4 linked regions of the Saccharomyces cerevisiae S288C genome follow. The gene in region 2 interacts genetically with the main gene of each other region. Each region holds a gene or a part of one and is shown on either strand. Other genes may lie near its edges.

Region 1 (4,517 bases), on a different chromosome or scaffold from region 2:
CTCATCACCATCATTCATTGCATCATCCTCTGCATAATACCACCTCATATTTTTCGAATACTTCAAGACCATCAGGAACTGATTTGAATAAGTCCAACCAGAACGTGTTCAATAATACCATTACGCATCCTAATGCTGGTCCTACAAGTGCCACATCGACATCTACATCATCTAACGGAAACACTCCTTTATCGAGTAACTCTTCGATGAATCCAAAGAGTTTGACAGACCCCAAGCTACTAAAAAATATACCCATGTGGTTAAAATCGTTAAGACTACACAAGTATTCAGATGCCTTAAGCGGAACCCCGTGGATCGAATTGATTTACTTAGATGACGAGACTTTAGAAAAAAAAGGCGTTCTTGCCTTGGGTGCAAGGAGAAAATTGTTGAAGGCTTTTGGAATCGTTATTGATTACAAAGAACGTGATTTAATTGATAGATCTGCTTATTAAATCTGGCATAATAAAGTTGATTGTCTTGACGTTGCATAAAGATTTAATTTTTATTTACTTTGCATATACCAACACAGGGAACATATTTCATTTATTTTGTAATTTTAACGTTTTCTTTTATGGAGTTTAATATTTTAGATTACACCTGTTTTTGCACCGTTTAATGGCATAAAACTATTTACTTAACTTTTAACTCGGGAAATATGTATCACTATACTAAAAAACATTAATTTAATCAAAGAAAAATAAATTTAATGTATGTATCTATATATATATATATATATCACTTAAAACAGACAATAGCCATAATCAACTGGGTTATTATTATACAATATTAAAGGAAGAACGCATATTTGAAAAAAAAATAAAATGGGTAATGAATTTTAGCACAAATACTTCACAAAAGGAAATATACTAGTAGTAAATGTATATATTTATATGTTTATACAATGAATGGTACAAGAAATTTTGATATTCTTGCTATTGTGGTTTCTTGTGTTTCATCCAGTATTCTTTATTGATTTTGACATTATCGCTTAAAAATTTTAATCCTGAGAATTTTTGACTTAATGCGTTGAAAAATACTTCAGCAAACGTATTAATGAAAAATATTTGACCGTTTGGAATATGCGGATGGTCTTTGATAATATCATCAGGGTCTGTTACGTTCACCAAAATATTTTGAATTGATTCCAAATCTTCTTTCGGAGAATCAACATTCTTGTATGAATCGCCAAAACAGTCTTGTTCTGGGCGGTGAGCTTTATGAAATGTTTCCAAAAGAGCGCAATCATTAAATTCGAGAGTAATGAGGTATGCCCAACGTGCTGATATTGACAAGGTTCTCGTCACATTAGAGATGTCTGCAGCTTTAATAATTAGAGATATCAAAGTGATTTGTTTCATTGGGTTTTCATGCATTAATCTATCCTCATACTGAGAATGCAATGCCATATCTGTGGCCAGAATAGCCTCGGAAATAAAATCAAATTTTTTTTTGGAGATAGATAGCAATTGAGGCCAATGCTCTGATAGCAATTGTTGAAATAATTCCCTGTGAAAATTCTCCAAGATAGAGACATTTTTGAAATTTTGAGCAACCTCTGATTCACAGTTGCACAATAGTTGATTGTTAGTCCCAGGATGACCGACATCATGACCTATGGCAGCCATACACAACAGTAATGTTTGTACAGGATTATCTTTAAGAAGATATGTACACAATCGCCATGTGGCTTGCATGACATCGATGGCATGCCTAAAATTGTGAAATTTGTTAACTTGATGATAGGATGATTCTAAAGTAAATAGTAGTAGCAGTAACTTATTATCTGCAATGAGTACTTTTGCATCCTTAGATAACTTTTTGATAAGCGTGAACCCGCACCAAATCAATTCTTGAGTGCTTAATGATAAAGCACAAAAGTCCCAAGTTGATAGAATGTTCCAATAATGTGATCCCTCTTGAGAAATTTTTTCTATTGGATCTGACAAAAAAGACATAAACTCGATGTTGCGAATTAGCCTTGGCACTGATGCCTTTCGTAAATGTTGTGCCTTGGAATCATTCAAATGCAATAATAAAGTGTAAATGTTTGCTTCACATGCTTGAGTGGGGACAGAATTCCCATTTACAGTACCATAGCTGTTTTTGTTAATACCGTCTGGAGTATCATCATGATGGTGATACATCCAGTGGTTAATTCTCGTTATTCTATTACGACAGATGCTATTTTCACGCTCAACACATTCAAGACGTTGCAGGTTTTCCTCTCGTGTATGATCTATCGCAGAAATATTGAAAGATGGGAAAAATCGCTTGAATAGAACATCCAATTGTCGCACAGATAATTGAAATTTTGAAGGGTCATAAAGAACTATAGATACGCCCGTTTCAAAGTTATGGACGTTTGGAAAAGGCGAAACTCTGTCCTTATACAATGCTACCATCAGAGAATCCAAATCTTGAAGCTCAATCACTCTATCAAAATAGTGTTCATTCTGTACAATTGTTTGAGATTTCTCAATCTCGTGTATTCCAATCAGAAAAAGGGTGGACATATCAATAGGTTATGTTTTCTTCAATTAAGTAGTAGTGATCTCAAAAAGAATGTCTGGATACTCTAATTAGTGGCTAATAAAGCGTCAGTGCAAAAGATAAAGAGGGACAACAAAATAATTTAAAAGAAAAACGCAAAATAGTCGGTAACTCGTGCTAAAACCAGTAACGACAGCTAATATCAGGAAGATCCCACTTTATCTCAAATTTGCGCTTTTTAGTCCAATCTCTCACAGTGACTATAGTTTTCAATTTGCAAGTATATTCTCTCTAAGCCAATTTTTCTTCTTTATAATGCCTAAAACAAAAAGAAAAGAGGAAAAATTGTGCCCAGTAAAAAGAAATTCTCGGAGAACAAAAAAAGAAAAGTGCAACTAGAAAAGGACGCAGGACCCTTTTATAATTTTGTACGAGGAGAGCGACCCCTGCAGATTACAAAGATAATAGAGCCTATTGTAGTATTTATGAATATTAGACTAATTCTCATACTTATACTAGATATTGTTGTTAGTTTACATACAAGCCCGTAAGTTCATGAAATTTATTCGACCTTTTCCTTTGTTTCTTCCAAAACTTCTTCAACTATCTCTTCGATGGTGGTAAAGTCATCGCTGGCATCTTCTGGTTGAACGTCAAAGATTTTGAAATTCATAGATTTTTCCATTTCTTGGCCAATTTTTTCTCTATATTCGGTCCATTGCTTCAATAATTCACGTTGGTGTAGAATCAAATCTCTCATGGCGGTGTCAGCTTCCATTGCATCTTGCTCTTCGAATTGGGCAGACCATTCCCTCAAGTTTTTCCTAACCTTTTTCCTTTCGGCGTTAGACAAAATGGAAGCTGGCCTTGGTCTCCAGGCAAAGTTCTTGAAGCCAGCAATGATGTCTTCTTTAACTAAGTTACCAGCAATATTGAAAATTTTGTAACCATGCTCCACCTTGTGTTTCAAAGAACTTGACCATGCGGTAACGTATCTACCAGATGGATCCCAAGTGATATTAGTAGCCGCAGAGTAGGTAGGATGAGCAACATCTTTCAAAGAAGCTGAAACATCATTATTGTCATTAATATTCTTTTCACCTGGATAGTCCATATCGTAAAATTGTAGGTCTGATCTACGCATGTTTGGACCCACTAAAGCACCTACAACCACAAATCTACCCGCTGGAGACCAAGAAACAGTGTTGGCAAAAGTTTTTGGAATTTCTTTGACCAAGCTCCATCTTTTAATTACGTCAGTCTTTTCTTTAGTTTCTGGAGCGTAAAATCTGATTGTATTTGCTGGGATAGCATAATTCATATCAGCTACTTCATGAACAGAAATTGTAACAAATCTATTTCCGTGGGGTTCCCAACCGAATTCAAAGACACTATCTTTCAATTCAACCTTTTCAACTGGTATATCTCTTTCAGTCAACCTACAAATTTGTAGATTACTGAATTGAGTCTTACCAGACTTTGTGTGACGTTCGACATTGAAGCACAGGAACTCAGCTTGGTTTTGCCAGTGCAGAGTTACGTTGGAGACTTGAACTAAGTTAACGGTTTTTAGCACTCTACCGCGAGGAACTTCAGCAATGGTAGCAGTACAAGCGGAATTATTAGTCTCAGGAGTCCAATAAGCCAATAAAACAGAAGGCTCGTCACCGTTTCTGAATGGTTGTAATTTAACACCTTCTGGAGCAAATGAGAAATCTCTAATACCAGAAGGCTTCAAAGCCTTAGCTTCTAATGGCATGAAGTTTTTAGTAGCATCGTGAACTATTAAACTGTCTCCAACCATACGAGCACAATATTTATCATTATAAGACCATCTAACTAAAGGCCATTTCAGATATGGGCTCTTTATCACTGGGAAAGTTGCCATCAACAGACCAGAAGCAATGTCCCAGATGCATAATTGATGACCCTCATTTTTCTTGGTAAATGGAGAGAATTCGTTATCTTCTTCTACAATGATTGGTTCCGTGGAGAAAGTGACCAGGTACTTTTCATTCGGAGAG
Region 2 (3,255 bases):
AAACTGCCCCGGCCTCTGATTTCTCTAAAGAAGCAGTGGAAGATGTTGTACAACAGCCATGTGGCGATGGAGTAAAGTATCTTCTTGGTAGCGCTAGGCTCTTGGTAGATGTATGCCTGATCAGCCGACGTCTTGACGCTTTTGGCCTCGATGGAACTGTAATTCGTAGTTTTCTGTGTGCTCTTGGAAGAGGCAAATTTCTCCGTGAGTTTTGGTGCAGGCATTTTTTTTTACCCCGATGTAAACGCCCCTGTGCTCTTTTTACTATATATTTAATTCCGGGCTTCCTACACTTAATTCACTCTGTTATGAACTACAAGCCATTACTAACATCAATCTTTCCGAATCATAAATAAACTGCAACTGGGAAAGAAGGCGGGCCTACTTTTCTTTTTCTTCATAGCGCGTAGGGCTTGGCAGCCATAGTTGTTGAGAGACCGATGGATGAGGGATTGAAAGAAGGGAGAAGAAGAATACTAAAAGAGGAATGTAGAGCCGGGTTACAGGAAAACTAACTTTTCACTCAGGGCGCCGCATCTTTTCCGCAGGCGCGCCATGAACTGGCCAGCACGTTCTACGGCGAAACCTTCGAACTGGAGGCGGCTCACACATAGTAGTAAGTTGCCGCGACAGGTGACCAAAATACAGTCTTTAATATCATCATATTTGAACATGCCCGGTTTACTGCCATTATCTAGACGTGCGTCTCTCATCACTTTACACTCATGAAACAATATTCGTTTTAATACTGAATTTTGAGCGTCCTTTCTTGCCGCTGTCGCTTCTTTGAACGCGTGCAGAGGACCGAGCGTTTCGAGTTTGTTAAGTAGTTCGGCGGCAGAATCGCGCGCCCAATGAATGCGTTTATCTTCTGTTGTTATACGGTGGGCGTAACTGGGTTTGTAAGCTGTTGGCGCTTGCACACGGTTCTGTGGTAGATATAACCTCTCACGAAGCGTTTGGCCCAAAAGTTGGGCGCCAAGGGCGCCCAACTGGTCCATCAGTATGGCAGTCCTCCGAGGCAGGCCCTCAGAATTAAAATCTGCCGTCGAATCATTGACTCTCCCTTTTGACAGCATTGTTGCGATCGCCAGTGGCTCCGTCTGCGCTACAATTGCACCATGGTCAAACCGATCCGGATGCAGTGTCTGTATAGTTACACCGGTGTAAGTGTCACCCTCGAGCAGAGCTCGCTGGATAGGTGCACTGCCTTTATGTCTGGGAAGTAGCGAAGGATGGACGTTTAGCGCCAATGGCACCGCGCGGATCAAGTCACCCGGAATGAGCTTCCCAAAAGAAACCGCAATGATCGCGTTGAACGGAGCACCGGAGCCGTCGTTCTCCGGATTTCCTTGGCGACTGGGTGTCAGTTTGCTTAGCGCCAACATTTCCTGCTTGGTGTCGCATGTAATTGGGCGTGGCAATTGAAGCTTCTCTGCCATATCGAAGATCGGCGGGTATTTCAAAATAGACTTCTGTCTACCGCACCACTTCGGCGACCTAGTTACTACTTGAATATTGTCCACTATACCACAGCTTCCATTATTTTGACGCAACTCATTGAGTGCTTGCAATGAGAAATTACTGAAAGTGTCGCTACCAAAGAAAAGCACATTCAAGGGCTGCACTGGTGGAGAAGCATTGTTTGAAATATATCTGCATGTGAATAGGAGGCGTGTAGGTGTTATTCTTCTCATTTTAACCATTTGTTTGATACGCCGTTTTCAATCTTCTCACTATGAGGTGCCTAGGTCCCCTTCCTTTTTTTTCTTACCTCTCTTTTTACGTTAATGAGAAAAGCGCTTACTCCTCTCCATAATAGCAGGTACAGCTTTTTTTGCTTTTTTCTTAATGGACGCTTCTTCCATTTGATATAAATATGGGTTACCCTGTGGGCATACGATAATTTTTATTCTCTCGATTAAGAAACCGAGATGAGCTTTCATATTAGTTTGGTAATGATATTGATGTGGCAAGTTGAAGTAAAGAGAGAAGGCGTTCTATGGGCTGAGCATGAGTGAGGGACAAATTCCAAGCTCAGATGTGTTAGGCTCGCAATTGGGTGTTGGTGTACAAGGCGCCAGTCTTTACTGTCCGCAAGAAAATTACACTACGAAGAAGCAAGAAAAGCCACAATGGCTAAGACCAGTAGATGATACATTGGCCGAGGATGCACTAGACCTTCATATAGTGGTCAAAAGTCTGCTTTGTGATACTGCCATAAGATATATTTCCGACGACAAGGTTTTGCAAGAATCAGATGCCGACGATGATCTCATAACTAGCGATATTGATGAAGATACGGACAATCAGGGGGATACATCTATAGTGGTCAATCCAGTGATACCCGTGGTACCGAAAGATGTCCATTTTTTTAAGAAAGTTGACGTTGGTAATGATTCTATGTTTGGTGTGAACTGCGATACGCCAGTTTCATTTCAAGATTACATTCCTTCAGATTTGCTGCGCAACTTAGATGATACATTACAAGAAAGTACTAACTCTTCGAGGCCGATGCAAGACGCCTTCTTTTGGGATCCTACTGTGGCTAATCGACTGGACTCTCAATATATTCAGACAGCATCAGATTTAAGAAATTATAGAGACGGAACCGAAATCATAGCATATGCCTCGGGTAAAACAGGCTCAGTCCTAAATATAGCAGTTCTGACACGACAAAATACATTGCATTTAAACCGACATAACAATGTAACGAGTATCGAATTGCATTCACCTATCAAGAGTATTAAGATACCGGGGGCCTCTGAGTCCATCGGGCGGAGATCAAACCTGGTGGGCATAATCACCGAAAATTCTTTCCAAATCTTTAGAATTGAAAGTGTCCACTCAAGATCATGTGATGTCATGGTTAGTAGTTCAGAACCACTGTATTTTGTTGAAATAGACGACCTTCAGGTGGTAGATTTTGCATTCAATCCTTGGGACTTACAACAATTCGCAATCATTGATATAAAAGGTAACTGGAGTATCGGGAGGATACCAAAGAATTTCAATAATAATAACAAAAGGAAACTACAGTTAATAGATAACCTCCACGGTACGATTTTTGATCCAGAAGAATTATCGTCATGGAAAAGAATAGAATGGTTTTCACACTTCCAAAAAATACTGGTCTTTGATAGGTCCAAAATGATTGAGATCGACTTTATGAACAATTGGCAAACGGAAGTAGTACAAGCGAAAGCATGGTCAAACATACGTGATTATAAGCGGATAGATGATAAAAATGGTATT
Region 3 (3,212 bases), on a different chromosome or scaffold from region 2:
AATTGAATGCTTTTTTATTATGCTTTCTTTTGTACTTGCTGACTTTCTCCCTGTCTCTGCGTATATTGCCAAATGTGACAGTTAAGCTTCCATCTAAAGAAACTTCTTCCCAATCAATATCACTTAAATCATCTTCTTCATCCTGGTAAAAACTATCAAAAGAATCATCTGTTTCTTCCTCCTCATAAAACGATACTTCTTTCTTCTCAATCTTTGAGTTTTTTCGATTGGCCTGATCATTTTGGCTTGATTCTAACAGTCTCTTGGCCATTACTTTTCTTCTCACTATTCCTTAAACTCATGTATGCTAGGTTTCAAGGTTTGACCCTTCGTTGAATATCGAATTTGGTCATTCACCCTGGCTTGTGTGTTTTCCGTTTTATTATTTACATTTTCCAGAGGGCCACTAGAAAAAAAAAATACTTATCTATCCATATATTTTACAAATGGTAATGTATGTGCATCTGCCAGTACCAAAGGTGGAAAGAAAAGTATACAGTTTATTTATTTGAAGTATGATAAATTTTTTGGCTTGATGTCAACTGGCTGTAAGTTTTTGTCCAATGGGTCCATTTTTCTTTTGGCTTTAGATCTACATCTATTATATTCACGTGCAACGCATTTTCAGCACTGTTCCATTCAATGAAACATGTCACGTCTCTGAGTGTCATGAGTAGCAGATGCTCATCGTTTACATCGTTGATTGATTTTATGTCACTTATTGGAGTTGTGTTCTTTGTAAGTTTTTTCTGTAAATCATAAAGGATCTTGAAAATGTTATTGTCATTGCGCAAGTACTCATGCATGGCATCTTTAAACTTAACCGGAAATATATTACATTCTCCAAATATTAATTCCAAGTGTGCTGGATTCATTAGTAATTGATTGTAACAGTACTTAGTGCCTCTACCCTTAAATGCATTATGAGTACAGTTCCTACAGTAATCTGTATCATAGTATAACCATTTAGGCTTCAATTCTAAAATAACTGTTTGCAGATTTTGTGAACAATAAGATTTTAAAAAGTGGTTATTTAATATCAGATTTGAGGTATTATTGGTGAGATTTTTAATTTTGATAACTTTGACTACCTTATCGTCTAAATTTAGAATAAAGTCACTGAGAATTGGCCTTATAGCTTCTATATCGACGTCAATCAGATACATCGGGCAAAGCAAGCCATGTAGAAGAGGTTCTACATAATCTTTAATATAACTGATGTTTTTGATTGTATAAGAATTATTTGATGATAACAGATCGGGCCAACGGATGCAGCATCGCCACAACCACGTAGGATCCCCATAATCAATCAGTATATTTGCCCCACCACGTCCGATGACTTGCATCGATCTTTCTTTTCAAAAAAGGAACTTATCTCTGACAATTTTCGACTGGTAGCATATCACGGTTCGAATTAATTTTGGAAACCCTAAATGGGACCGCATCAAAAAAGTACCTTGTGAAAATATCTTCGATAAATAAACCACTGAGGAACGAACAAGAAAACCATAAGTAAGTGAGGATGATCGTATTTCGTCGCTTTCCTACGTGCCTTTTACATCACATTCGACAACCGGCATCCAGGAGTCTTTTGTTGGAATCACAAAGGCGATCATTATCTTTTACATCTTATAAATATAACAGCAGCCACATTGATGATGATAAAAGTAAAAAAAAGCTTAAAAATGTTTTCCAAATGAATAGCAATAGAGTCATTCGTAAGCAAAAAACAAAAGAAGAATTGGCCAAAGAGAGGTTCGAAGAACAACTGAGGTCACCTAATAGATTTGTGAGGTGGGGAGCTATTGCGAGATCAGAAAAGTTTTCAAAGGGAATGACCAAGTACATGATCGGTGCTTATGTGATATTTTTAATCTATGGTCTCTTCTTTACCAAAAAACTGTTTGCGAAAGACAAAGAACTGGAAAGATTGTTGAAGAAACAAGAAGAAGGGAATGCCAATGAATACGAAGCATTAAGGATTAAAGAATTGAAAGGAAAACTAAGGAGGAGAGATGAATTGAAATTAGAAGAATACAAAAAAATGCAAGAAGAAGGCATTGAAAACTTCGATGATATTCGGGTACAGAATTTTGATCAAAACAAATTGAATGAACAAATATTGCCAGCAAGAGACACAACAAACTTTTACCAAGAAAAAGCTAACGAATATGATAAGGCAATTAATATGGAAGAGAGAGTAATATTTCTCGGTAAAAGAAGGAAATGGTTAATGAAACATTGTCAAGGGGATGTTTTGGAAGTTTCATGCGGTACAGGAAGAAATATCAAGTACCTTGATATGTCACGCATCAACTCTATAACATTCTTAGACTCTTCTGAAAATATGATGGAAATTACACATAAAAAATTCCGAGAAAAGTTTCCTAAGTATAAAAAAGTTGCATTTGTTGTTGGAAAGGCGGAAAATCTAGTAGACTTAGCAGAGAAAGGTAAGCCCTCTCTAGAGAATGAAAAGGAAAACCAAGTAAAATATGATACTATCGTGGAGGCGTTTGGTTTGTGTTCCCATGAAGATCCGGTTAAGGCACTTAATAATTTTGGCAAGTTATTAAAGCCAGATGGAAGAATTATTTTACTGGAACATGGTAGAGGTCAATACGATTTTATAAATAAGATATTAGACAACAGAGCTGAAAGAAGACTGAATACTTGGGGCTGTCGATGGAATCTCGACTTAGGCGAAGTGTTAGATGATTCTGACCTAGAATTGGTGGAAGAAAAACGGACTCACTTAGGCACTACTTGGTGTATCGTTGCAAAGAGAAAAGGTGATGTGAAAAAGAAAGACGAGCTTGGGTTTGTAGAAAAATACTTGCAATCAAGTATTAGAAAGAGAATGGAATCATTCGAAAAAAAAGACGATATGGCATCTAAAAAAGAACTTGAGCCAGTACCTCCTGTAAGTAAAAGTTAACATATTTATTCATACCAATGAATTTTATACAGGCTTAGAATCGTGTAAATATTTCAGTAAGCAAGTTAAAATGTGATCTAAAACCCCTTAGGTAGTTCTCCTTACTTCTAAAGTGATCATACTGACCATATGTGACGTAACGACGCTATTATTAACAATCCAAAAATTGCGTCACTGGGAAAAAATAAAAATGCGAACTCTGTGGATCGAACACAGGACCTCCAGATATCTTGACCAAAGTTTTTTCTTCAGTCTGGCGCTCTCCCAACTGAGC
Region 4 (3,982 bases), on a different chromosome or scaffold from region 2:
CAATAAGCCATATATAGGAAAGTTAAAGAATTGGCATGAAGAGCTGGGAGAAAAGTTTATTTTACTGGATTGCCGAAACAAAACTGACGTCAGGAATCTACTAAAAATACTAGAATGGCAAAATTACGAACTAGAAACAAATGGCGGATATCTACCTATGGGATACCGAGCATTGATTACTGGCATGCCAAATGTTGGAAAATCTACTTTAATAAATAGCTTGAGGACAATTTTTCACAATCAAGTGAATATGGGAAGAAAATTTAAGAAAGTAGCCAAAACTGGTGCAGAAGCTGGTGTTACTAGAGCCACAAGCGAGGTTATTAGAGTAACTTCACGGAATACGGAATCAAGAAATGAAATATACTTGATAGATACTCCAGGAATCGGTGTTCCCGGTCGCGTTTCAGATCATAATAGAATGCTAGGACTGGCGTTGTGTGGTAGTGTTAAAAATAACCTTGTAGATCCAATATTTCAAGCGGATTACCTTTTATACCTAATGAACTTGCAAAATTTGAACGATGGAAGAACAGAGCTTTACCCTGGAAGCACCAATTCTCCCACAAATGATATATATGATGTTTTAAGAAGGCTTCAAGTGAATAAAAGCCAAAATGAAAAATCAACGGCTATCGAGTGGACTAACAAATGGAGGTTGCATGGAAAGGGTATCATATTTGACCCTGAGGTACTGTTGAATAATGACGAGTTTTCTTATAAAAACTATGTAAATGATCAATTGGAAAAGTTAGGAGATCTTTCGTATGAGGGATTGTCTAACAAACTAAAAGGGAACCCCAATCAAGTATTCTAGTAAATAATATCCAGCATACATAAGCTTATCTAATAATTAGATCATTTTACAATGTGTACCGAGTAATACAAAGTTGAGGGGGGAAAAAGTGTTATAATGCTCAAAATACCTGTTCAAAGAAATCACCACCCAATTTCGGAAAGTCTTACTCCATTGGAAGCATGACTAATAGATTCGATTGATACACCACCCATTAACTCTCCTAAGTCACTAGATACTTCCAACAATTTGCTGGGATTGTCAAAGTGAGTGGTAGCCTCTACTACTGCAGTGGCCAACCTTACAGGATTAGATGATTTAAAAATTCCTGAGCCAACAAACACACCATCACAACCCAACTGCATTAACAATGCGGCATCGGCTGGCGTTGCTACACCACCTGCAGCAAAATTTACTACTGGCAACTTACCTTTTTCTAAAACATCTTTCAGCAAAGAAACTGGTACCCTCATTTCCTCAGCAACTTTTGCAATGTCATCTTCGCTCTTCAATTGTTGGCACGCCTTTATCTCCTCTGTAATTCTCCTTATATGCTTGACGGCTTCAGAGACATCGCCCGTTCCAGCTTCACCCTTGGTACGAATCATAGCGGCGCCTTCATTAATTCTTCTCAAAGCTTCACCTAAGTCTTTAGCGCCACAAACAAATGGAACTTTGAATTTGTCCTTTTCAATGTGGTGAGTCCAATCAGCAGGAGTCAAGACTTCACTTTCGTCAATATAGTCAACTTCCAATGCCTCAATAATTTGAGCTTCAACAAAATGGCCAATCCTTACCTTAGCCATGACGGGAATGGAAACGGAGTTCATGATGTCCTTAATCATCTTCGGATCTGACATGCGGCAAACCTTTCCTGACTTACGCATATCTGCTGGGATGGATTCTAATGCCATTACCGCACATGCACCAGATTTTTCAGCTATTTTTGCCTGCTCTGGAGTAACAACATCCATAATAACGCCACCTTTTAACATTTGGGCGAGACCACTCTTGATCTTAAAGTCTTCTCCAGTCATCGTGATAATTAACTGAATATTAGTACTGTGTATATTTGCTAGTCGTTCCTAAAGGTTTCTCCAACAATACCATAGACTTCGTCCATAGCTCTCAGCGTCCTCCTATTTATATCGAAAATGGTACTTCGCAGCCAGAATTACAGACGTAACTAACGGTGCGGCAGAGTGTGTCAGAGTCATGAAGAAATGGCGGCGCTACCTGAAAAGTAGTGAAAAAGCCCGGCTTTCAACCCTTACCCTTGTCGGCTGAGTCATTATGTCATGATGAGCTATTCCAACTAGTGCCATAAATTCCAACTGAGTCAGTAAACGGCATTTATCAGCAATAACTGGTCACGAACTCTTTGAATGTTTTATTCTTTCTTCCAAAAATCACGTTGATGCCACCAGGTTTTTTTTTCTTATTATTTCATTTCGTTAAATAGAAAGAAAAACCATATCTTAAAGTATGCACAAAACCCACAGTACAATGTCCGGAAAGTCGATGAAAGTAATTGGGGTTTTGGCGTTGCAAGGTGCCTTTTTGGAGCATACCAACCATTTAAAAAGGTGTTTGGCTGAAAACGACTACGGAATAAAGATAGAAATCAAAACTGTAAAAACTCCTGAGGATCTAGCCCAGTGCGACGCCTTAATTATTCCCGGAGGAGAATCTACGTCGATGTCCCTCATCGCTCAAAGAACAGGCTTATATCCTTGTTTATACGAATTTGTTCATAATCCGGAAAAGGTAGTTTGGGGTACTTGTGCTGGTCTCATCTTTTTAAGCGCGCAATTAGAAAACGAAAGTGCCCTAGTAAAGACTTTAGGTGTGTTGAAGGTCGACGTGAGAAGAAACGCATTTGGAAGACAAGCTCAATCTTTTACACAAAAGTGTGATTTTTCCAATTTCATACCTGGCTGTGATAATTTTCCTGCTACATTTATTCGCGCACCCGTGATCGAGAGAATTCTTGATCCTATCGCGGTTAAAAGTTTATATGAATTGCCAGTGAATGGAAAGGATGTGGTTGTAGCTGCAACGCAAAATCATAATATCCTTGTGACTTCTTTTCATCCAGAGCTTGCTGACAGTGATACAAGATTTCATGATTGGTTTATCAGACAGTTTGTTTCTAATTAAAATACCGCCGGTTTTCCACATTTTTATATTACCAAAACCTGAGAGATTTTTTCACATCGATAAATCTCTACTCGTTTACTATCGAACAATGCTCTAGGTACGATGATATTGTTAAAAACTTCAGATACATTTTGTAGCTTGATATGGTTCAAAGTCCGAAAAGATAGCCAAACTATTGCTTGACATCGAAGGTATGTTATTTGATTAATTTCACTTTTGTCAAGCTCTTTTATTCTTGTGTGTCGTAAATTAAAAAATTTTGTGAATTTACTATCATCTTCCTTTATGTACAACGATTTAAAAGTTCTCTTATCGACTTTTAGTTCCTTTAGTATATTTTCCTCGATGTTCCACCACTTGATTTTACTTACACGTTTCATTGTCAGAGATTTAAAATTTTTGGGAAAGACAATGCTATTCAGGTCGATGTAAGCTACTCTACTTAATACAAGCTTTTGCAAGTTGTCCCATCTTGTAAAGTCAGCTAGTCCGGTTCTGGAAATTTGATTCATGCGTGATAGGCGTATTTCATTTATCCTACGTTTCACTATGTAACTAATCGTTTTACCAGGATTGTCTCTGAACCCATGAAAATTTATTAGCAACTCATATAATTTCTCTCCTCTCACAGTGATCTTCCGCAGGCTCTTCATGGATTCCATACTTCTTATTGTTCTTATAACAGAAATACTTGTTAGTTGGTTGTGCGTTGCTCCCACATTGCCATTATCTGAATGTGATCTTTTGGATGCTGACCTTTTCTTGTTTTTAATTGTGGAGCTAGGTGAGGAGTTTTCGTCAGAATTAGCTCCACTAACATCAACATCTTTCTCTTCTCCTACTTCTTCATCTTGTCCAAATTGTACCTCCCCGATTGTTGCGAATAAATCTTTCTGTTCTAAAATTGATAAGCATTTGTCTACTAGTTGTGGAGTTAGATTATCAATGTTGAATTGAATATTACTTACATTAAGTAAGTCAAGCTCGTCAAAAGCAACACTGTCTATCACCCACTTCTTGTACTCT

What was found.
Region 1: mutations in FMT1 (region 2) and PDE2 together harm fitness more than expected from each alone (negative genetic interaction), as found in Saccharomyces cerevisiae (3 studies listed by BioGRID).
Region 3: mutations in FMT1 (region 2) and IPK1 together harm fitness more than expected from each alone (negative genetic interaction), as found in Saccharomyces cerevisiae (3 studies listed by BioGRID).
Region 4: mutations in FMT1 (region 2) and SNZ1 together harm fitness less than expected from each alone (positive genetic interaction), as found in Saccharomyces cerevisiae (2 studies listed by BioGRID).

What each region holds. Positions count from the first base shown.
Region 1 is NC_001147.6:1,012,306-1,016,822, forward strand, and holds PDE2 (3',5'-cyclic-nucleotide phosphodiesterase PDE2), read right to left. Parts: upstream 2,517-4,517; coding exon 936-2,516; downstream 1-935. Other genes in the region: VTS1 (Vts1p), read left to right, coding at 1-455; PRT1 (translation initiation factor eIF3 core subunit b), read right to left, coding at 3,056-4,517. UniProt on the Saccharomyces cerevisiae protein: Controls the level of cAMP in yeast cells, together with the low-affinity cAMP phosphodiesterase (PDE1).
Region 2 is NC_001134.8:200,507-203,761, reverse strand, and holds FMT1 (methionyl-tRNA formyltransferase), read right to left. Parts: upstream 1,707-3,255; coding exon 501-1,706; downstream 1-500. Other genes in the region: bifunctional glycerol-3-phosphate/glycerone-phosphate O-acyltransferase SCT1, read right to left, coding at 1-224; RRN6 (Rrn6p), read left to right, coding at 2,014-3,255. UniProt on the Saccharomyces cerevisiae protein: Formylates methionyl-tRNA in mitochondria and the cytoplasm. Responsible for the formylation of the 8 N-terminally formylated (Nt-formylated) mitochondrial matrix proteins that are encoded by mitochondrial DNA.
Region 3 is NC_001136.10:1,092,241-1,095,452, forward strand, and holds IPK1 (inositol pentakisphosphate 2-kinase), read right to left. Parts: upstream 1,347-3,212; coding exon 501-1,346; downstream 1-500. Other genes in the region: RAD34 (Rad34p), read right to left, coding at 1-271; OMS1 (putative RNA methyltransferase), read left to right, coding at 1,523-2,938. UniProt on the Saccharomyces cerevisiae protein: Has kinase activity and phosphorylates inositol-1,3,4,5,6-pentakisphosphate (Ins(1,3,4,5,6)P5) to produce 1,2,3,4,5,6-hexakisphosphate (InsP6), also known as phytate.
Region 4 is NC_001145.3:456,259-460,240, reverse strand, and holds SNZ1 (pyridoxine biosynthesis protein SNZ1), read right to left. Parts: upstream 1,834-3,982; coding exon 940-1,833; downstream 1-939. Other genes in the region: putative GTPase MTG1, read left to right, coding at 1-817; SNO1 (putative pyridoxal 5'-phosphate synthase), read left to right, coding at 2,282-2,956; CTF13 (Ctf13p), read right to left, coding at 2,980-3,982. UniProt on the Saccharomyces cerevisiae protein: Catalyzes the formation of pyridoxal 5'-phosphate from ribose 5-phosphate (RBP), glyceraldehyde 3-phosphate (G3P) and ammonia. The ammonia is provided by a SNO isoform.